Pelodiscus sinensis: one gene and its partners. The protein of the gene in region 3 purifies or fractionates together with the protein of the main gene of each other region. This does not show direct contact. Links are inferred from orthologs where the notes say so. Each region holds a gene or a part of one and is shown on either strand. Other genes may lie near its edges.

Region 1 (6,944 bases), on a different chromosome or scaffold from region 3:
GCTGCAAAGAAATTGCTGCTGCCACCACAACTAGATAGTGGTGTGGGAACTACAGTATGGACACACAGAGGCAGACAGTAAGAGCAATCTATGATATTATATGTGCAGAAGACAATGTGGTATTGCTATTACAGCAGCTTTGCTTTCCTAGACCTGGTCCATGTTTCAAAGTTAGGTGCCCTGGGTATGAAAAATCTACATAGTTGAGAGCTATAGATATACCATCCTAACCCCAGATTAGACTAAACTGATGGAAAAATTCCACTATCAGTACTCAAAGAGGTAGATTACCAACAGCAATGGAAAAAATTCCTTTCATCATTGTAGGTATCATCTAAACTACAGGACATCAACGCCATAGCCGGTACTATAGATGTGGCTTTATTTTGCCAGGCAGGATTCAGCATTACCAGATGTTTAGATATCCTTTTTATCACAACCGTTTCTGCATATGCTTTTCACAGAGCACTGGGAAATGTTTGTTAGCTGGGAAGGAAACTAGCTATTTTTATCTCTCAGAACATTTCAGAACAGAGTTCTGCTTTTTTAGGAGGTACATAGTTAACAGATAAAATGACAAGAACATGAGAAGCAAGCATCCAGGGTTTATCTTAAGGGTAACCGTGTCATCTCGGCTGGATTTCAGAGTTCTCAATAGAGTTGGCATTAACTTGTAACAGACGCTGCCATTATTTCCAACAGAGTTAGCAGCTAATTACAGCAATACTATTGAGGGCCACCAGCTGCTAATTTGTGATATGTCAGTAAATAATGCATGTCACATTCTTCTGTACAATGAATACAGTCTTTGTTCAAAGCTTTTCCTCACAATAATCTCCAAATCCTACCAGAAGGCGTCACCAGCAAAGCACAAGAGGTTTCGCCTTCCTAAGCTTGCTTCTTCCCTTTCAGCCTCTGCTGCTCTAGTATGGAGGGGAAGGGAAGGGAGGGGAGAGAAATGAATTTGTTCAAGATTTGCTTCTGCTTAGTTTTTTTAATGAAAAAATGGATAACAAATTAACAATAAATGGCTACAGTGCTGTAGGAGCCAAAGCCAACATACCAATTTCTGCATGTCACAGTGATGTCCTATTTGTAGCATTTTTCTATGTCTGGAATAACCCATTTTTTCTGTTCCTAAGCTGAACAATTATGTTGATACCCATCGTGCTGCAAGTAATGATTTCAATATACTCTTCCTGCACCATCCAGACTGTTCCCAGTAATCACCTTTTTCAATGAAAATAATATAAGGCTGGTGGCTTACTTCCTTTTAAAACGTATTTTTATGTAATTAGTTAATTGGCAGGTTGCCAGCAGAGGTGGAACCAGATAATGTGGGATGGAGGAGAAAACCCAGAGATGGATGTGAAAGGAATATTGGGGAAAAACTTAAAAAACAATGAGTTGGAGACTAAAAAAACCATGTACATGGGATGAAGCCACTTCTTCAAGACTCACATCGCAACACTGAGAGCTCATAGCCAACATTCCACATGCTGCTCTGAACATTCACGCATAGCAAATTGCTTGTAAAAGCACTTCTCACTTAAGAATCTCAAAATGCTGCACAACACATTAAGCCCCCAAACACCCTGTGAAACAGGCACTGTATTATCCTTATTTTATAGATGGATAACTGGAGGCACAGAGAGGCTAAATGACTTGCCAAAAGTCCAAATGCTAATTTATTGGCAAGAGTGGAACTAAGACCTAAGTGTTCTGATTCCTAATTCCATACTATAGTCCAGGACCATATGTGGGCCACGTGGCCCACAGCTCATTTGTTTGCGTCCTGTGGTGTGGTTGGGATTTATGCAGGGCTCAACACGCAGCCCATAGGTGGGAGCCAAAACAAAAAAGCAGTCAATATAATGGTCTTTTGTTGGTATGTGTTTTAGTAGTTAAATTTCTGGACTGTCATTGCTCATTTAAAGTGCTGTCATATGGGCAGAAATCGGGTAAATACTACATTTTATTAATATCAGCAGAACTGACTTAAATGGGGCCTGTGTGTTGTGTAGTCTTGCCTTAAGCTTTGTATTCATACCTGTCGGTGTGAAAGAAGCTATTTGCATATATATTTGCATGCATATGCAACCACAGTAAGTTGTGGCCCTTGGCATATGTTGAGTATCATTGTGGCCCCCGGGGCTTCCAAAGTTGAGTAGCCCTGCTATAGTCTATGATAGCTGGACACCCTCTTACTGATAAGCGTTTAAACTAGCTTGCAATGACTCAGTTTCTAGGACAGCCATTATACTCACCAAGCACATCTTGGGGTTGGCTGGAACACTGCTTGTTAATCACTGTTTCCAGAGCATAGCTAAGGTCCATGCTATGCCTAGTTATTTCCTCAGGAGTAGCACCATCAGGGTACATCTGCTTTGGCATTTCTGTGAACCGGATCTCAGTGCCAGCTTTCAGCTTCATTTTGGGCAGTCGGGCCAGGCCTTCTGCATAGCTCTTACATTCTGTGTCATATCGGGGCAGGTTCTGTTCAGCTCGGTCTTTGGTGTGCTTCCCAGCTAGAACTGGCAGAACTTCTGAAAAGGCACAGATCTGTCCACTCTCTGGCTGAAGCTTCTTCATCACTGGTTCACTGATGAAGTTAGTGAGAGAGATCCATTTCTTGAGGCTCTCATATGGGTATGGTCCAAGAAACTTGTCCATCTCCTGAAGATTTGACCTCATTATTTCAATCTCTTCTTCAGATGCTGGGGTGAGGTCCACCTCCTCATTGGATGAGTTCCAGTGCAGAACCCGCAAATCTCGCTGGTGCAGGCTTAAGAAGAAGCCAGTACGGGGGCCTGTTTCTTTAGTGTTGCACCGGTTGACAGAGCTATAGTGGAAGAAATGGATGCCTGGAGGAATCATCTTGACTCCACGGAACCTGGGGCCCACATGCCAAGTGTTGTAATCAATGCCAAACTCTGTCCCCTCAGGCATATTCAAAATGACAACTGTGGCACCTTCAAAAAACAGTCTCTTGGCCAGGTCTGGATCTATCTGCATCTCTGCCATCTTGTCTGCTGGTCTGGCTGTTGCGTCAGGCCTCTCTACCAAGAATCTAGGATAGGGCAAGCACATCACACTTGTATTATGTAAACACACAGATCCCTCCATCCAGGATAGTTTATGAAAACCTTTGCAAGTTAATATAGTCCAGTGCTGTACTTCTGGACCGTATGCTCACTGAAGAAGAGTGGTTTTGATAGCTGTGCCTTACGCAGTAAAGAAAACAGTTAGTACTTAACAAATAACAATACATAGGTGCCTCAGCACTAGGGATGTTAAAATAGTTGAATATGGTAATGGTGTATCTGCTAAAAGTCGGAGCGGTTACACGCTCTGGGGCTCTGCAATAGGGATGTAAGCAACTAATTGACTATCCAATAAGCAAAACCTTATCAGATAGTTGACACAGTAGTAAACTAGTCGTTTCCCTGCCACTTGCTGCCTCTATCAGAAAGAGGCAACAGGGTGAGAGAGAGGAGGTGGTGCTGGGGGGTACCGGCTCCCCCCAGCTCTGTGGGAGGAGGCAGGAGCACAGCAGCAGCATTCCACCTTTGACATGTACAAGAGCCCCCCACTTGCCCTGGTCTCCACATGGCGTTTCGATCTATTAAATGCACAAGAGCCCCTGCTGGGGATCTTGTACATGTCAAAGGCAGAATGCCACAAGCCACTTCCACCTTTGAAATGTAGCAACAGCCAGGCGGTCTAGCACTACATTTGAAAGTGGAAGAGCCCTTATTAACTAATCAAATAGTCGATGGAAATTCCATCCATTTTTTGATTAGTTGATTCATTTAATTTTCACATCCATACTGTGTTCAATTCTCCCCCCCCCCCCCCCCCCCACTATAGAAAGGATGTGGATACACTGGAGAGGGTCCAGCAGAGGGCAACCAAAATGATTGGGGGGCACATGACCTACGAGGAAAGACTGAGGGATTTGGGCTTATTTAGTCTGCACAAGAAAAGAGTGAGGGGGGATTTGATAGCAGCTTTCAACTTCCTGAAGGGAGGTTCCAAAAAGGATGGAGAGAGGCTGTTCTCAATAGTGACGGATGACAGAACAAGGAGCAATGGTCTCAAGTTGCATTGGGAGAGGTCTAGGTTGGATATTAGGAAAAACTATTTCACTAGGACGGGGTGAAGCATTGGGATGGGTTCCCTAGGGAGGGGTGGAATCTCCATCCCTAGAGGTTTTTAAGCACCGGCTTGACAAAGTCCTGGCTGGGATGATTTAGTTGGAATTGGTCCTGCTTTGGGCAGGCAGCTGGACTCTGGACTCGATGACCTCCTGAGAGCTCTTCCTGCCCTATGATTCTATAATACTCTGCAGCATAAAGCTTAACTTTATACTAGGTTGCAAAAGTGTGACCGTATACATGGTTAACTGATGAGCCTGGGCTTATCACTTAACCTTCACGGTTACATGCATGCTCCTGGTATACATGTAACCTGGTATACATGTAACAGTGCAACCGCTTAAAAGCCAGCTCCCGGGGAGCCACCTTTCCCCCTCTCTCCCCCACGCTGCTGCCTCTATATCACATGCAGCAATATAGGGTGGGCAGGCAGCAGCCATTGCATACAGGGAGCCAGATTAAAAGACGGTTCCCCATGCACACCAGCTCCTTGGGAGCTGCCTGCCCTCCTCCCCCACATTTATCAGCTGAAATTTTCAGTGGTTACATGTTTACTTGATTAAATGCATTTTTACATCTCTACTTTATACTGGATAGCCCACAGTGAAGCCTCCTCCGGAGCAAGGCCACCAGCAGCAGCGAAGCCTCCTCCCCAGGAATGGGGCCAGAAGCCTTTGCCTGTCTGGCTCCTGGGGAGCAGGCTTTGCTACCCTGTCACAGCAAAGCCACCTCCCTCGGAGTCAGCTGAGTGTAACTGGAACCATTAACCAAAAAGCACCAGCTTATCAGTCAATGGTTATTCAGCTACACTCTAACATCCCTATTTCAAACCCGATATGCAGTCTTCTCACTGCAGTCTGTAATCTGAAAGCACCACCTCACGGCACTCGCACTAGCCAAGAGGAGAAGAGATAAAGCTATAGCAGTACAATGATATTCGGCAGCTAGAAAAAAATCCATCTTAAAATCTTACCAATGAAAACATAAACTCTAGTCACAGCAATTCCCTGTCTAGTCCTTCCAGTAAGGATAATGGGAAAAATCACAGACTACAGCTCTGACACACACCTCTCACCATAGTCTGTTAGTAAGCGAGAGAAGATTTTACAAGGTGTATTTATAAACACACTCAGCGGAGCCTCCTCCTCAGGCTTCCCCTTGCCAGGAATAGTCTCCCAGAACCCCAGTCTCCCCGCCCAGGTATAACCACAGTCCCCTGGACCCCCAGTCTGCCCCCAACACACCAGTGGTATGTAGACAGCTACTTGCTCCCTTGCAGCTTTCTACACATACCACCAGCTCCCATAGCCCCGTATAACCCGGCCCAGACCCACGGTCTGCGCCCCCCAAACCAGCTCCCATAGCCCCGTATAACCCGGCCCAGACCCACGGTCTGCGCCCCCCAAACCAGCTCCCACAGGCCCGGCCCCGTGTAACACTCCCCCCCCCCCGCGGTCTGCCCCTCCGCTCTCCCTCTCTAGACCCTCAGGCCCGTCTGCCGCCGACCCCCGTCGCCCACCCAGGGCCCCCGAGCCGGGCGGCTGCCGCCCCCACCGCTCACCAGGGCGCCGCTCCGCACCTCACAACCCCCGCCGGAGCGCGCGGCGGACCGGAACCGCGGCGACTTCCGCCAGCCCCGCGAGTCCCCCCCGGAAAGCGGCCCGGGCAGCCCCACTGCCCCGGCACGAAGGGCCCGGCGAGCCAGGGAAACCCCTCCCCCTTCCCCAGCCGGGAGCGGAAGTTCTCAGGCTCCCGGCGCGAGCCCTGAGGTCTGGCTCTGCCTGCCCCGCGCCTGGCCCCTCCCCGCGCCCCCATGAGCCGGGGGGGGGGGGCAATGGGGGAACGTTGTATAGCCCAGGCCGCCCGCCTCCTCCTGCCTTTTGAACGGCAGAGCCAGCAGGGGGGGCCAGTCAGGGCTGCCTGACACAGACAGGGCTCTGGGAACCTGCTTCTAAGCCAGCTCCCTCCAGCACCGGCTCCTGCCTCGCCCCGCGGCCTGCCTCTGATACAGCGGGGCTGTGTCTACACTGGGCCACTTATTCCGGAAAATCAGCCGCTTTTCCGGACTAAGCTGCAAGCTGTCTACACTGGCCCTTGAATTTCCAGAAAAGCAACGATGCTCTACTGTACAAAATCAGCCGCTATTTCGGAAAAACTATTCTGCTCCCGCTCGTGCATAAGTCCTTATTCCGGAACACTGTTCCGGAAAAGGGCCAGTGTAGACAGCTCAGTAGTCTTTTCCAGAAAAAAGCCCCAATCGTGAAAATGGCGATCGGGGCTCTTTTCCGGAAAAGCGCATCTACATTGGCCACAGACGCTTTTCCGGAAAAAGGGCTTTTCCAGAAAAGCAACCTGCCAATGTAGACGCTCCTTTTCCGGAAAAACTGAAAACAGAGTAGTATTCCGTTTTAAGCATTTCCGGAAATTCATGCCAGTGTAGACACAGCCAGGCAGCAAGGGGGAGGGGAGAACGCGAGTAGTCACTCGACTAATCGACAACCCTTTGACATCCCGACTGGTCTGAGGTAATCTGGACCAAGCACCGAGGACGTAGGAAAGTTGGTTTGCAAATATGGGAACACATGATCTCTGTAATCCTGGCAACCCATCCAAAGACGGGTTTCGCACCTATGGCTGTGTAGATGGAGCAAGCATTGATGCAGAAGGAGAAGGTCTACCTTTGTAATCTCTACTTTTCTTTCTGTGCAGGTACTGATAAGCAGGGCAGAGTAACAGTTGGTCTGTTGTGGGTGGAAGTATGTTCTAGATGCCACTGGAATGTATATC
Region 2 (7,865 bases), on a different chromosome or scaffold from region 3:
CCCCCGCCCGTCAGCCCCGCCACGCTCACTCCCCGCCCGTCAGCCCCGCCACGCTCACCCCCTGCCCCCAGCCCCGCCACGCTCGCCCCCTACCCGTCAGCCCCGCCACGCTAACCCCCCGCCCGTCAGCCCCGCCACGCTCACCCCCTACCCGTCAGCCCCGCCACGCTCACCCCCTACCCCCAGCCCCGCCACGCTCACCCCCCGCCCGTCAGCCCCGCCACGCTCACCCCCTACCCCCAGCATGCCACGCTAACCCCCCGCCCGTCAGCCCCGCCACGCTCACCCCCCGCCCGTCAGCCCCACCACGCTCACCCCCTACCCGTCAGCCCCGCCACGCTCACCCCCTACCCCCAGCCCCGCCACGCTCACCCCCCGCCTGTCAGCCCCGCCACGCTCACCCCCTGCCCGTCAGCCCCGCCACGCTCACCCCCTGCCCGTCAGCCCCGCCATGCTCACCCCCTACCCCCAGCCCCGCCACGCTCACTCCCCGCCCGTCAGCCCCGCCACGCTCACCCCCCGCCCGTCAGCCCCACCACGCTCACCCTCTGCCCACCAGCCCCGCCACATTCACCCTCTGCCCACCAGCCCCGCCACGCTCACCCCCTGCCCACCAGCCCCGCCACGCTCACCCCCTGGCCACCTGTCATCCCCGCCATGGTCATCCCCCTACTCCTCAGCTCCTCCATCCACGGTTATCACCTGCCCAGTCATCAGCCCCGCCACAGTCACCTGCTGCCCACCAGCCCCGCCACAGTTTGCTCCCTCAACACTACCCCACCAGTTTCCCTGCCTCCTGCCCCTGCCTCTGGAGACCCTGTGACCTGTCAGTCCCACCACTGTCTTCCCCACTTCCTACCCCTGGGAGACCCCCCTGCCCATCAGACCTGCTGCCATTTCCCCAACTTCATTACTACCCTGTCTCCCCTGCTCTGCACAGCCCCAGATTGGTCTACCGAGGCAGGACCCCCCACTTCTCCCCACAGGAGCACTCTCCAGCCCCCATTCTCCCCTCCTTCCCCCCGGATCATACACTCACCCCTCACCTGCCTCCCATCCTTCCCTTCTTCCCACCCACTCCCCAGGGTCCCCCTCCCCAGATCTTTGCCCACTCAGCTTGGTCTCCCCTGCCGAGGGTCTCACCCTCCACGTCCTCCGATGCCAGGATGTCGTATTTACTGGCCCGGCCGTCATCGCCCTCCTCATCCTCGTCTTCCTCGTCGCTGTCCAAGGAGTGTTTGCCCTTGAAGCGGCTCCCGGGGCCGCTGGCCCCCAGGCCAGGCTCTGCCAGCTGGGGAGAGAGGGAGACTTAGATTCCCTTGGTCATCCCAAAACACAGCACCTTGATGCAACAGGCCCCCCACTCACCAGCATCATCCTGAGACACCCAGGAGAACCCTCAAATACCCCATGGTCACACCCTCTCCAGCGACCCCCTCCAACTCCCAACAGAGACCTGTACCCTTCACCAGGGTACCTCCAGAGACCTCTCTCACGTCCCCACCCGCACAACAGGCCTCCCCTTTGTATCCCTCCCCCATGCCTCACTGCCCCACAGAGATCCCTCCCCACATCCCTGCCCTCATAACTCACCTTCTTCTTGGGCATGGCCAGCTCCTCCTCGTCCCCCTCCACCTGGTCCTCAAATGTCACCTTGCGCTTGGGCATGGTGGCCCGATGCTCTGGGGAGGGAGGTGAGTAAGGAAGGGGGCGTCCGCCGCTGCAGCCCCACACGACGGGCCCCGCTGCCCCTAGCACCTGCAGCCCCACACGACGGGCCCCGCGGCCCCTAGCACCCGCAGCCCCACACGACGGGCCCCGCGGCCCCTAGCACCTGCAGCCCCACACGACGGGCCCCGCGGCCCCTAGCACCTGCAGCCCCACACGACGGGCCCGCGGCCCCTAGCACCTGCAGCCCCACACGACGGGCCCCGCGGCCCCTAGCACCTGCAGCCCCACACGACGGGCCCCGCGGCCCCAGGCACCTGCAGCCCCACACGACGGGCCCCGCTGCCCCTAGCACCCGCAGCCCCACACGACGGGCCCCGCGGCCCCAGGCACCCGCAGCCCCACACGACGGGCCCCGCGGCCCCTAGCACCCGCAGCCCCACACGACGGGCCCCGCGGCCCCTAGCACCCGCAGCCCCACACGACGGGCCCCGCTGCCCCTAGCACCCGCAGCCCCACACGACGGGCCCCGCGGCCCCTAGCACCCGCAGCCCCACACGACGGGCCCCGCTGCCCCTAGCACCCGCAGCCCCACACGACGGGCCCCGCGGCCCCAGGCACCCGCAGCCCCACACGACGGGCCCCGCGGCCCCAGGCACCTGCAGCCCCACACGACGGGCCCCGCGGCCCCAGGCACCTGCAGCCCCACACGACGGGCCCCGCGGCCCCAGGCACCTGCAGCCCCACACGACGGGCCCCGCGGCCCCAGGCACCTGCAGCCCCACAGGCCAATGACACGCCAGAGACCCGGCCTCAGGCGAGGCGCCACCGGAGCATCCTCTCTGCGCCAGGCTGCAAACCCGCCCCGGGCACAACGTGCATTTGCATATGCAAATGAGCCCCCCAGGCCCCGCCCCGCAGGGACACGGGCCCAAACTCCAGCCTCGCAGCTTCCCAATTTGCATATGCAAATGACTCGCTTCCACCGTGCTGGGCGGGCCCAAGCGCTCGGTTCAGCCCAGCCAAGGGCCCCCCTGTGATGCCTAATTTGCATATGCAAATAAGATGCAATAGTCCGGCCCGGGGGAAATGCGCAGTACGGGTCCTGCCGCCTCATTTGCATATGCAAATCAGCCCGTTCGGCTCGGGCCGGGCGCCCCGGTACCAGCGGGACCCCAAGACCCTCACAGCCCCTCATTTGCATATGCAGATCAGCGCCCCCATCGGCTGCGCCACTCACTCACCTCCGGGGCTCGCAGAGCGCCCTCGCGCGGCAGCCACTTCCGGGTCACTCTGCCCGGATGTGACGTCGCCGCAGGCCCTCGCCCCGCCTCTCGCGCCGGGTTGATCTCGTTCGGGCGAATAGCGCGATAGGTGACGTCACAATGGCACCTGAGCGAGGGCCCCCCATCGCGCAGGAGCCCAACGGCGGGTTGGCGGAGGGGCCGGAAGTGACGTTTTCTCCGGGCAGCCACCGCTAGCTGCGGCTTCATTGGCTGCCGTGCGGAGCGGGAGTCATGGCAACGCTTAAAGGGGCAGCAAGCGCCCCGCCCCCCCCCCCCCCAGCACCTCGGGTCTGACGGGACAGGCCCAGGGCATAGGCCCCTCCCCCTCCACGGGGCCACGCCCCCTGCGCCCCCCCCGGCAGGCGCACCGGCCCCCCCTGTTTTCCGGGGGGGGGGCAAGGGGCCCGGCCCCTCGTGTTTCACCGGGGGGGGGGGGCGAGTGGGGCCCTGCCCCCCCCCGCGAACCCGGGTCGCCTTAGGACCGAGCGGAGCCGGCCGCGCCCTGGCTGCCGCGAGACACTTCCGGGGGGCGGGGCCGGGAGGGAGCAGCCGCGCGGGCAGAGCCGGGCAGGAGCCAGGTAACGAGCCCGGGCGGGGAGCGGCCCCCCCCCTCCCCGAGCCCCCCCCCCCCCCGAGCTGAGCCCCCCCGCCCCCAGGCCCGGGCCCCGCCCCCCCCCCGAGCTAAGCCCCCCCGCCCCGAGCCCCGCCCCCCCGCGCTGAGCCCCCCGAGCCCCGCCCCCCCGCGCTGAGCCCTGTGCCCTGCCCTGGGCTCCCGTGCTGAGTCCCCCGCCCCGAACCCCCCGTCTCAGGCCCCGCCCCGAGCCCCGCCCCCCCTGAGCTGAGCCCCCCGCCCCGAGCCCCGCCCCCCCCCGCCCCGAGCCCCCCCCGCGCCGAGCCCCGAGCCCCCCAGGCCCGGGCCCCGCCCCCCCCGCCCCGAGCCCCGCCCCCCCGAGCTGAGCCCCGCCCTGGGCTCCCGTGCTGAGTCCCCCGCCCCGAACCCCCCGCCCTGCGCCCCGCCCCCCCCGACTTGCCCCGCCCCGAGCCCCCCTTGCTGAGCCTCCCGCCCTGGCCCCCTAGGCCCGGGCCCCGCCCTGCGCCCCGCTCCCCTTGCCCTGCCCTGGGCCCTCTGCGCTGGGCCCCCTGAGCCAGCCTTGCCCTGAACTCCGGGCCCCCAGCCCTGGGCCCCATGTCCCGTTCCCTGCCCTGGGGCTGGGGCCCTGCCCGGGAAAGGCCCCACGTCCCGTTCCCTGCCCTGGGGCCCCCTGCCCGGGAAAGGCCCCACATCCCGTTCCCTGCCCTGGGGCTGGGCCCCTGCCCGGGAAAGGCCCCATATCCCGTTCCCTGCCCTGGGGCTGGGGCTGGGGCTGGGCCCCCTGCCCGGGAAAGGCCCCACATCCCGTTCCCTGCCCTGGGGCTGGGCCCCTGCCCGGGAAAGGCCCCACATCCCGTTCCCTGCCCTGGGGCTGGGCCCCCTGCCCGGGAAAGGCCCCACATCCCGTTCCCTGCCCTGGGGCTGGGCCCCTGCCCGGGAAAGGCCCCACGTCCCGTTCCCTGCCCTGGGGCTGGGGCTGGGGCTGGGCCCCCTGCCCGGGAAAGGCCCCACGTCCCGTTCCCTGCCCTGGGGCTGGGCCCCTGCCCGGGAAAGGCCCCACGTCCCGTTCCCTGCCCTGGGGCCCTGCCCGGGAAAGGCCCCACGTCCCGTTCCCTGCCCTGGGGCTGGGCCCCTGCCCGGGAAAGGCCCCACGTCCCGTTCCCTGCCCTGGGGCCCTGCCCGGGAAAGGCCCCACGTCCCGTTCCCTGCCCTGGGGCTGGGCCCCTGCCCGGGAAAGGCCCCACGTCCCGTTCCCTGCCCTGGGGCCCTGCCCGGGAAAGGCCCCACGTCCCGTTCCCTGCCCTGGGGCTGGGCCCCTGCCCGGGAAAGGCCCCACGTCCCGTTCCCTGCCCTGGGGCCCTGCCCGGGAAAGGCCCCACGTCCCGTTCCCTGCCCTGGGGATGGGCCCCTGCCCGGGAAAGGCCCCATATCCCGTTCCCTGCCCTGGGGCTGGGGCCCTGCCCGGGAAAGGCCCCACGTCCCGTTCCCTGCCCTGGGGCTGGGCCCCTGCCCGGGAAAGGCCCCACGTCCCGTTCCCTGCCCTGGGGCTGGGGCCCTGCCCGGGAAAGGCCCCACGTCCTGTTCCCTGTCTCCCCTCTCTCAGGTCCCTGCCCACATGAAGTTGCATGAAACCGGCGTCCTGGGCTACTCCCGCGTGGCAGTGCCCCCCGACCGCCAGGGCCGGCTGTACAAGAAGAGCGAACGCAGCAGCACCTACCAGCGCCGCTGGTGCGAACTGCGAGGGAACTTGCTCTTCTACTGGGAGCGGCAGGGGGACCGGGAGCCGCTGGGGCTGATCCTGCTGGAGGGCTGCACGGTGGAGCTACAGGAATCCGCCACAGAGCCTTTCACCTTTGAAATCTCCTACCGGTCGGGCCACCGAGCTTACAAGATGGCTGCCGAAGACCAGGCCTCCATGGAGGGCTGGGTACGGGCTCTGAGCACGGCCAGCTTTGACTACCTGCGGGCTCTGGTGACTGAGCTAGAGGGACAGTACCGGGCCAATGGGGTTGCCCCGCCAAAGGAATGGGCTGTTCAGCACCGCCCAGTGGTGTCAGCGGTGGGATTGCCAGACTTTGAGGGGCTGCACCAGCAGTTTGGGAAGGAGATTGTGAAGCTGCGGGCGAAGTGGAAGGAGGCCAGGGCAGAAGGGACCCAGCCAACACAGGGAGACCTGATTGATTTGGGGTAGGACGGGAGCAGGGAAAGGAGAAGAGCCAGAGGGGGTAGGGGAGTCCTATTCCATGCCATCCAATGCAGGAGAAACATGCAGTGTGGGGGACCCAGGGTGGGCTAGCAGGGGCTGCAAGCTCAGCTCAAGGGACAGACAGAATGGGAAGGGGCCGTGTCTGGCTTGGATGGACTAGAAACCCTCCCCCCCGGGTTAAGGAGGCAGAGATGCTCCCTCTGCCTTGCGGTTCTTCGGGAAGTGGGGACCTTTCAAGGCCAAACCTTTGCACTGAGGCGATGCTTTTCCAATAATAAACGTGTTCTGTCGGGGCCTGGGCTCAGCCACGTGAATTCACTGTTTGGTCACCTCTGGCCAGCAGTGGGGGGCGCTGAGTGCAGGGGGCAGGGCAACGGCTGGGGCAGGGGAGCTCCTGGCTACTCCAGCGGGTGCTGTGCGGAACAAACGTCCTGCCTGCCCGGTGAGAGCTCCCCCCACTGCTGCACTGGGCTCAACTTGTGGGTCTGAGAAATCCCCATTCATTCAGCCAAAGGAGGCTCTCGGGCCACAGGGACAGGCAAAGCAGGAAACGCTCCATCAGGGCCCTGCCTGCGGCTCTGACCGCCTTCAACAACCGTTTCCTGCCCTAGGAGATCAGCCAGGCTCCTGCTGCCCTCACCCAACCTCCACTGGCGCAGCACACACCGTCCAGGCTTCGCCCCTCCAGCATGCAGAGCCTGGTCCCCCGTGGCCACTGCTCCGCCACTAACCCCAGTGAGCCGGGAATAGAGCCCAGGAGTCCTGGCTCTCACTAGCCTCAGAGTGGCCCTCAGGGAACTGAGGCTCATCTCAGGCCAGTGCCCCATACCCCCAAGACCAGAACCCAGTGGTGTGGATACTGGGGGTCTCCATTTCCAGGCAGGCTGCGTGATTCACCCTGTGGCGGGACAAGGGGGTGAGTCTGCAGAGACCCCCTAGCCCAGCCCGCCTCTACTAGCGTCTTGGGCCCAACCAACAGGCAGCCAGTGGTACCTGGCAACCGCTGAGCCTGCACTGGCAGGAAGCTGGCCCATTCTGACCCGCTGGAAAGCAAAGCTTGGGGCTGGGGCCCCTACCCCTGGGGCTGGGGCCCCTACCCCTGGGGCAGAGACCTAGGGGCTGGGGCTGGCTGGAACATCCTGCTTTCTACGCTGATCCAGACTGGCAGACGTCCCTGAAGGGAGCTCGCAGTGTGGAACGGGTGCTGACAGCTCTGAGGCAGGGCCCGCAGGGTGTACCCTAGGAGAGTGCCACACGAGGCAGCCTAGCCACGATCCACTCCGGGCTGCTCCAGAGCACAAAGCCTATTCATCTGGGACACCCTCACCCCTTTCAAGGGGCAGAGACCCCCCCCCCCCCAGACCAAGGACTCAAAGGCCCTCAACCCAGCGATCTTCAGAGACGCAGCACCCCAACCCATGTTCCCTCTCATCCCCCCGGGCGGAATAGGTGTTCTCTGCACTGAGACCTGTGAAACGTGCACCACCAGGAGAAGCAGGCTGCCGGCCATGGGTGCTCTGCTAATCCGCTGGGCAGCATCTGAAACCCTCCTGGGTGGCCTCCCACGCACCCAGCCACTGAGCAGCAAAGAGCCACGCTCCCCTCCCCGAGGGTTCTCAGATCTAAAGGCCAGTGGCCTTGGAAGAACAGCCCCCGACTGATGCTTCTCAGAGACCTGCAGCCCGGAGCCCCTGGAAGAGCCAGACTAGCCCCATAGTACTAGAGATGCAGCCGTGAGAGTCTGAAACACCAGCCAGGGCTGTGCGGCACTTTACAGACTAACAAGATGGTTTATTAGGTGACGCCTGCATCCTGCTTCAAAGACATTAACACCAGACTTGAAAGAGAAACCTCGGAACTGTCATTCATGCTTCAATTCGACACTTTACGCTGGGGTCTTAACAAAGACATTAATTATCTTACCCATTCCAAAGAGCTTCCCCAATTATCACCTCCAATAGCATTAGCTCACAGACATTTACCCCTCTCCCCCCCCCTCTGAAATTCGATTTGTCCTTTTTATGCGTGTTCACTTTGTTTTGGTTGTATCCCTTTGGGATATGTGGTCGTGCTTATTTTCTTCCACAATTTGATCTGAGGAAGTGGGTCTGGC
Region 3 (7,093 bases):
CAGGTTCTGGCTGTTAAGCGCAAGCCACCCCAGGCAAAGCCGAGATACAGCAGGAAGAGGGGCTGCTGGCTCAGCGACTACTGGGCAGGAGGCGCTGCCTGCTGGAGCCGACATCTCCTGGAGGAGAAGGGGAACCAGGGCCCTGCCCCTCGCCATCGTTATCGGCTCCACAGGGTGGTGGCAAGACCCCAACATCACACCTTGGCCAAGGACATTCTGCTCCCTGAAATCTCCAGCCCGGCCAGACCCCGCTCATTTCCAGTCTTAACCTGACAAACGGGTGCCAGTGCAGTGCGGATGTCTCATGCTGCACCCCAGAAGTGGTTGCATTCCCAGAAACTCTCCCATAACACTGTACGCACTGGCAGAGGTGGGGGTGCAAGGTTTTACCTGGAGCGTTTCCTGTCCTTGTCCCGCCGGTGCCCATCTTTCTCCCTCTCGCGATCCTTCTTATTCCGCTCACGCTCTTTTTGTCTCCGCTCCCTACAAGGGTAGAGCCGGGGGATCAGTTACCAGCCTGTCAGAGCCAACCACACGGCCCCCCACCCCTAGGCCTGGAGGCTGCTACCTCTCAGCTGACTTGGAACGGGAGCGGGATCTTGATCGGCTGCCCCGCCTCCTCTCCCGAGACCTGTGTCGCTTCCTGTCACGGTCCCTGTCCAGGGAGCTCGCACGTTTCCTCTCCTCCTTGGGGGGTGACAAGTCCCGCTCCTTCTTGTCGGGCACGTCACCAGCCATCTGTGCAGGGCAGTAAGAGGCTGTTAATGGGGGTGTGGAGGGTGTGAGAGGGGAACTGAGCTTCCATTAGCTTGGCACTGCCCCCCCCCCCCAAAAAAAAATACACGGGACACATCATTAGGTGCGGGCTGGCTTGGGGAGAGCAGAGAATGAGGATCTTCCCCTCTGGGGGGCGCTGACTCCCATCCAGAATTGGCCCAAGGGCAGAGGGGAAGGGAAGAGGGTGATTCCCTATTTTGGCCTTGGTGCAGCAGGGGTGTCTGGGCAGTTCACAGGACATACACCCTTTTTAATACAGGGTTACCACAGTAAACCCATGACCCTAACCCTGGGAGAGAATCCAGGAGTCCACTTCCCCCGCAACTCCACGAAAGAACCAAGGAATAGACCCCTGCACAGACACAAAGTTCTGTACCTGCATCTGTATCTGCAAAAGTGAGCTGCGGATATCCGCATCCATTAAGGACGTAAAAGGTTACCTGTAAGCATTAGCCATACTAGCATGCTCACCAGATAACTGGTTAAACGGAGGGGGGGGGGAAGAAGCAGTCCCCCATCTGCTGTGGCCCGGCTGACAGGAACCCGTGGGCCAGAGTGGTCCCCCGCCCATGGCACGACCCCAGCTGACCGGCTGGACCAGCCCCCCCACCTGTGACGTGGCCTGACCCTAGTGGGCTGGCTGGAGCAGTCCCGCAGCACAACACAAAGCAGTCCCCAACCCGTAGCGTGACATAACCCCAGTGGGCTGGCTGAAGCAGTCCCTCGCCCACAGTGCGACCCCAAGTGGATGGCCACAGCAGTCCACAGCGTGGCGTGACCACAGCTGGCCAACTGGAGCAATTCCTCATCTACAGCACAGCGCAACCCCAGCAGGCTGGCCAGAGCAGTCCCCCACCCGCACACAGAGGGCAGAGCCCCCCCCACAGCAGGATGGCCAGACCCCAGCAATACAGTTAACCGGTTCATTGATTACAATTAAATCGTTTAACCAGTTCACTTTGTATATTTACATCCCTAGCAGCGGTATCCAAGCAGGACCTGTGGGTATAAAAGGGTCATCCACAGATGACCAGAATATATGCAGTGTTATAGATCCAACATTTGCAACCACATCCACGCAAATGAGCCGTAGATACACACATCCACATCCGCGTGTGGGGACACCCACAGATATCTGTGGATTTGCAGGGCTTTTCCCAGACTCCCTTCCGCCTCTTCCCCAACCATGCGAGAGAACCCAGCAGAGGGGGCTTCCTCCGCATCCCAGACTATTCCCTCTAAGCTGGGCGCTTGTGCGGCTGCTCAGGAGACATTCAGATGCCACCCAGATGATTAGCAGAGCGCCCCCAGCTAGGTTTTTGTTCCTACTGGTGGTGCACATTCACACATGCCTCAGGGCACGCAAAATGTATTCTGCACATGGATGGAAGGAATTAGAGGGAACATTGTCCTGACCCCACGAGACTGCCCAGAGGTCCGTGCTCTGCCCCTCCCTCCCCCGAGAACCCAGAGATCCGGGCTCTGCCCCCCCCGAGACCCCAGGGATCCGGGCTCTGCCCCCCCCCCAGAGATCCCAGGGATCCGGGCTCTGCCCCCCCCAGAGATCCCAGAGATCCGGGCTCTGCCCCCCCCGAGACCCCAGGGATCCGGGCTCTGCCCCCCCCCGAGACCCCAGGGATCCGGGCTCTGCCCCCCCCCCAGAGACCCCAGGGGTCCGGGCTCTGCCCCCCCCCCAGAGACCCCAGGGATCCGGGCTCTGCCCCCCCCCCAGAGACCCCAGAGATCCGGGCTCTGCCCCCCCCCAGAGACCCCAGGGATCCGGGCTCTGCCCCCCCCCCAGAGACCCCAGAGATCCGGGCTCTGCCCCCCCCCCCGAGACCCCAGGGCCCAGGCTCTGCCCCCCCCCCCCGAGACCCCAGGGCCCAGGCTCTGCCCCCCCCCCCCCGAGACCCCAGGGCCCAGGCTCTGCCCCCCCCCCCGAGACCCCAGGGGGCCCAGGCTCTGCCCCCCCCCCCGACACAACAGGGCCCGGGCTCCGGCTGTGGCTTGCGGGGCGCAGGGCGGCGGGTTCGAGCCCCTGCCCCCAGGAGCAGCAGGACCGGCTGCCCCGAGAGCCGGGCTCCCCTCCCCCCGAGAGCGCTCCGGGGCCCCACAGCGCCGCACTCACCCCGCGCCGCGCCTCCTACTAGGCCTCACAGCCCCTGCGCAGCAGCCGCCATCTTACGACAGGCCCCCGCGCGACACTGTCGCAACGCCGCGCGGCATGCCGGGAAAGCGAGGCCGGCTTGGGCGGCCGGCGGCGACCGCGTCCGCAGCGCAGCAACTACCGCTCCCAGCAGGCACCGCGCGGCTCGCCGCCGGCATCCTAGGGAAGGTCGCTCCCGGCGCTGAGTCCGAAACAGCGCCCCCTGCTGCCCCAGCGCGCCCTGCCACCGCCCCCCCCAACTGCTGGCAGCAGCCTGCCCTGCTGCACCAGCACCAATCCCATCACTGCCCTTCCTCCTCCCCCCATTCCTGCCTGTACCCCCACCCTCATTATCACTGGCCCTGGCCTCACTGCTGCTTCTTTCTCCCTCTCCCCCCCCCCCCAACACCGCCCTCTGGCCTCACCGCCCCTGCTCCAGTTCCTCCTGTGCACCCAGCCCTGCCCCCACCCATCCAGCCTCTGTGCATTGGGTTCCCATGCAGCTGGGCTCCGCAGAAGACACCAAGCCTGCTCCTCCTCTCCCCACCAGCAGCACGGCCCCTGGGGACGCTCCTCAACCCGGCAGCCAGAGCCAGGGTAGACTCCTCCACTTCATTCACCAGGATCTCACTAGCTTAACACCCAGGGCTTCCAGCTCTCTTGAGCCAGCTGGTTCTGCAGCCCAACATTTCCAAGGGAGAGTGTCAGCCCACGGGGCTATTGGCCCGCTGTGAGCCGGTGGCTCAGAATCTCCAGGACAGGGAGCCCTCTGGGGCCAGTCTGAAGAGCCCCCCTCGTCCCCCCAATATGTTAGAACCACTGCAGTCACAGCTTCAGGGGCAATGGGAGACTTCCTGGGGCTGGCCCGGCCAAGCTCATGGCCCCACTGATTGCTGTGAAGAAGGGGCTGGGCTGAAGAGGGGGCAGGGGAGGAGAGAGAAGGACAGCTGTAACCAAACCACCTCCCTCCCGACTGTCTGCCACAGCAGAAGGAGCTGCTGTGAGTTACAGGGCCAGGCTGGCCCTAGACACCAACCCCACTGCCTGGACCAGAACCCCATAGTCACTGTGGCCTGAAGGGTCCTTATACTGTGATCACATCCCCTTGCCTCTCTCTGCACCCTAGCAGAGTTGAGTTCCACCAGTCTCAGGAGAGAGCCCTGCTGTCCTGGCAGGGATCGGCCCTGCTGTCCTGGCAGGGACCGGCCCAGGGACCACCATGCAGGTAAGAGGGCAAAGGGGCAGCAACTGTTTCACTACAGCCAGAAATAGGCTCTATCTATTGAAATTCATCCCAGCCCTCACCAGCCCCTTCCCCTGGGCAGAGCATGAAGCAGGGGGTCTGTGTGCAGCCATAACTAAGCTCCTGTCCTTCCTCAAAGCCAAGTCCCCTCTTGTTTCTGCCACACGGGGGTGCTGCACCCAACACAGAGCACCAGGAATCTGGCCCTGCCTCCGCTGGCCAGACTTTGCCCTAAGACTCACACTGCTAGGACAGTGACTCACTTGCTCCAGGGCTGAGTGGCCCACCGGACGCTCACTCAACCAGACAGAGACAGGAGCTGGCGTCACCTCCACACCCACAGTAGCCCTGCTGGAGGTGATGTGGCTGAAGGGAGGGGCAAGAGCCCTGTGGATACCCACAGCTAGGACCAGTGGTTAGCAGGAGTCCTGGCTCCCAGGCTTGTTCCCAGCTTGGTCAGTCTGCACATAGCTGGGGCAAGTCCCTGCCCACAGGCGCCTTAGTGACCCTGTCGGGGAAGACGGTTGGCATTGCAGTGGTGGAAGGGGGAAGGTGTTTTGACAGACACAGGAGGCGCCCTTGCCGCTGACGGCTGAGCCAGTGTATTTTCCATAATAAATAAGCTTTTTAATAACACTGAACACTGACGAGTTGCCCCCCCAAAGTCTATAAACCAGTTGCCTCCTGCCCCCCCAGAGGCAAAGGTGGAGCCGCCCCCGCGCGGGAAGCGGGTAACGTGAGCCTAGAAGCAGCCGGCTCCAGAGACAAGCAGCAGATGAAGGGGATGCGTCACAGCCAGACACCGAGTGGGCATTCAAAGAAATGGATGGATTTCCCCCTCCCCCCTGCTCCAAGGGGGGGGGGGGGGCACGTGTCAAGAGCAGCTGCTTGCCAAGGTCCTTCTGCATCGAGACGCCCCGGGGCGCTCATCACCCGACTCTCTCTTCCTCGGAGAACGCGTGCTGAGTCAGCGTGGGAAGCACTGGGATGGTGAAGGGCCAATCCTGGGGCTGCTTAGGCCAGTCGGGAACTAGAGGCCTCTCTGCAGGCTGAGGTGTCACCGCCCCATCTGGCCTGGGCCACCAGGCAGCCCCCCACCCCTCCCCCATAGCATCGGCTCGAGAACATCCAGAGGCCAGAGTTGGGGTTTGGTCTGTCCGTCCCTGCCCCGGGGCCAGGCCCCTTCACATGATGGAGCAGCTTTTAGCCTTCTCCTTCTTGAAGGTGGAAGACAGGAGTTCGGAGCGGCTGGACAGGTGCAGGAGTCTCTTGGAGAGGCTGCGCCCGGGACTCTTGGGAGCCGGGGGGCCGGCCTTGCTCAGGCAGATGGCAGATGCTGTCCGGAAGATGCTGTGCACACTCTTCTCCGATGTGAAGGCGGAGCACTCCAGGTAGCTCTCTGCTCCCAGCTGCTTGGCCACAGCACAGCCCTGTAAGCCAGCCAAGGAAAGAGCCATCAGACAGAGCCAGACAGAGCTTGGAAGCTGCTGGCCAGGTAGGTTTGGGGCTGTGGCACTAAGCCAAGCTTCTGGTGCAGAGCTCCAGCCATGCTGGAACCAGAAAGCCAGCCCCTCTGGGTTGGGATCTGAACTGGAGCCTGGGCACCCCCCTTTTAGGAGCAGTCCTGGCCGATGGGGGACGAGCTGAGCCCACTCACCTGCTCATAGGAGACGGGCGCCTGCTTTTGGTGGGACAGCTCCATTAGGGTGCTCAAGTCAGTCCGCAGATCTGTCTTGCAGCCAATCAGCAGGACCCGGGTGCTGGGACAATAGTCCAGAATTTCTGTCTTCCACTGCATGGAGAAACCCCAAGTGAATCAGGCCCTGGAGCTGGAGTCACCAGGCTTAAATCCCCTGGCCTGACTCAGCTGCAGCCCACAGGACTATCAGCAGCCCAGCCCTTGCACTATCTCTGGGTCCCAGCCACAGGAAGGGCGTGGGCCCCACAGCGCTACCCTGGTGACAACACAGCTCAGCCCAGTCGGGAACCTCACCCCACCACTGGATCCTGCAGCGATCACCCCAGTCCAAGCCACCTCACCCCAGGACTAGCTGAGAGTGGCTTGTGGGCGGGTCGTTCTGGGCAGTGACCCCAGGTCTGAGCCCTGGCAAAGGGGGTTAAAGAAACATTCCCCTCCCAACCCCATGTTTGAACCCCAGGGTCACCCCCATCTCCGGGAAGAAACAGCTGGTGCCCACAGGAACAGCACAGGCAGCGACGGGGGTGCTACTCTCAGGCAGTGGGGCAGAGGAAGCTCCCCCCCATGTTTAAGCCAAGCAGAGAGTCTTGGGAGAAGGAAATTTAGGGGTCACCCCCAGGGTTTAGCCTCCAGCTATAGAACGGCTCTGGGGGCACAGGAGTGTTTGGCTCCCCATGAGAGGGGCTTGGCCTTCCCAGTATGAAATACCTCACCCCTGCGGTCAGACCCCTGGGGAAGGCCTGCTGGATGCGAGTGCGGAGAGCTGGGGGGCAGGGCCCTTAGAACACCCCAGGGTTGCCACCAGCTCTTGTCACTGCTGGCTGGAAGCACACCACCTCATCTCTGTCTGGGGCCAACTGCCCCAGGGCCCCCTGCTCCACATGAGTGCTCAGATGTGCCATGGGCCCCCCCTCACCTTCTTCAGGGCACTGTCCATGGTCTCAGGGCGGCCCACATCAAAGCAGAGCAGGACGGCATCAGAGTCGCTGTAGCAGAGAGGACGCACATTGTCGTAGTACGGGGACCCTGCGAGAAGGGGGCAGGCCACAGGTGAGCCCCATGAACCAGGGGAGCTGCTGGAAATCAAGGCTCCGCCAGCACCCATGTCCGGTGGGGAAGCAGGATCCTCGCAGGCAGGGGGCACTGCTTGGGGGCCCAGGTTAAGCATCCTCAGCCCCCACATGTGGCGCTGACTGAGCCCCACTGGGTACAGCTGCACAGCCAGGGC

The links.
Region 1: the proteins of DDX23 (region 3) and AAR2 purify together in Homo sapiens (affinity purification with mass spectrometry; 3 studies listed by BioGRID and IntAct, counting the BioPlex papers as one, with this or other methods). This does not show direct contact. The link is inferred for Pelodiscus sinensis from reciprocal best matches to the Homo sapiens genes DDX23 and AAR2.
Region 2: the proteins of DDX23 (region 3) and CD2 antigen cytoplasmic tail-binding protein 2 purify together in Homo sapiens (affinity purification with mass spectrometry; 6 studies listed by BioGRID and IntAct, counting the BioPlex papers as one, with this or other methods). This does not show direct contact. The link is inferred for Pelodiscus sinensis from reciprocal best matches to the Homo sapiens genes DDX23 and CD2BP2.

What each region holds. Positions count from the first base shown.
Region 1 is NC_134728.1:30,148,842-30,155,785, reverse strand, and holds the start of AAR2 (protein AAR2 homolog), read right to left. Parts: upstream 3,091-6,944; coding exon 2,268-3,090; intron 1-2,267. UniProt on the Homo sapiens protein: Component of the U5 snRNP complex that is required for spliceosome assembly and for pre-mRNA splicing.
Region 2 is NC_134714.1:134,633,144-134,641,008, reverse strand, and holds the start of CD2 antigen cytoplasmic tail-binding protein 2, read right to left. Parts: upstream 3,089-7,865; 5' UTR 2,913-3,088; intron 1,683-2,912; 5' UTR 1,669-1,682; coding exon 1,594-1,668; intron 1,292-1,593; coding exon 1,144-1,291; intron 1-1,143. Other genes in the region: sesquipedalian-1-like, read left to right, coding at 5,162-5,737. UniProt on the Homo sapiens protein: Involved in pre-mRNA splicing as component of the U5 snRNP complex that is involved in spliceosome assembly.
Region 3 is NC_134729.1:5,091,266-5,098,358, reverse strand, and holds the start of DDX23 (putative ATP-dependent RNA helicase DDX23), read right to left. Parts: upstream 3,060-7,093; 5' UTR 2,906-3,059; intron 739-2,905; coding exon 569-738; intron 484-568; coding exon 391-483; intron 1-390. Other genes in the region: RND1 (rho-related GTP-binding protein Rho6), read right to left, coding at 5,351-5,596, 5,824-5,958, 6,782-6,891. UniProt on the Homo sapiens protein: Involved in pre-mRNA splicing and its phosphorylated form (by SRPK2) is required for spliceosomal B complex formation.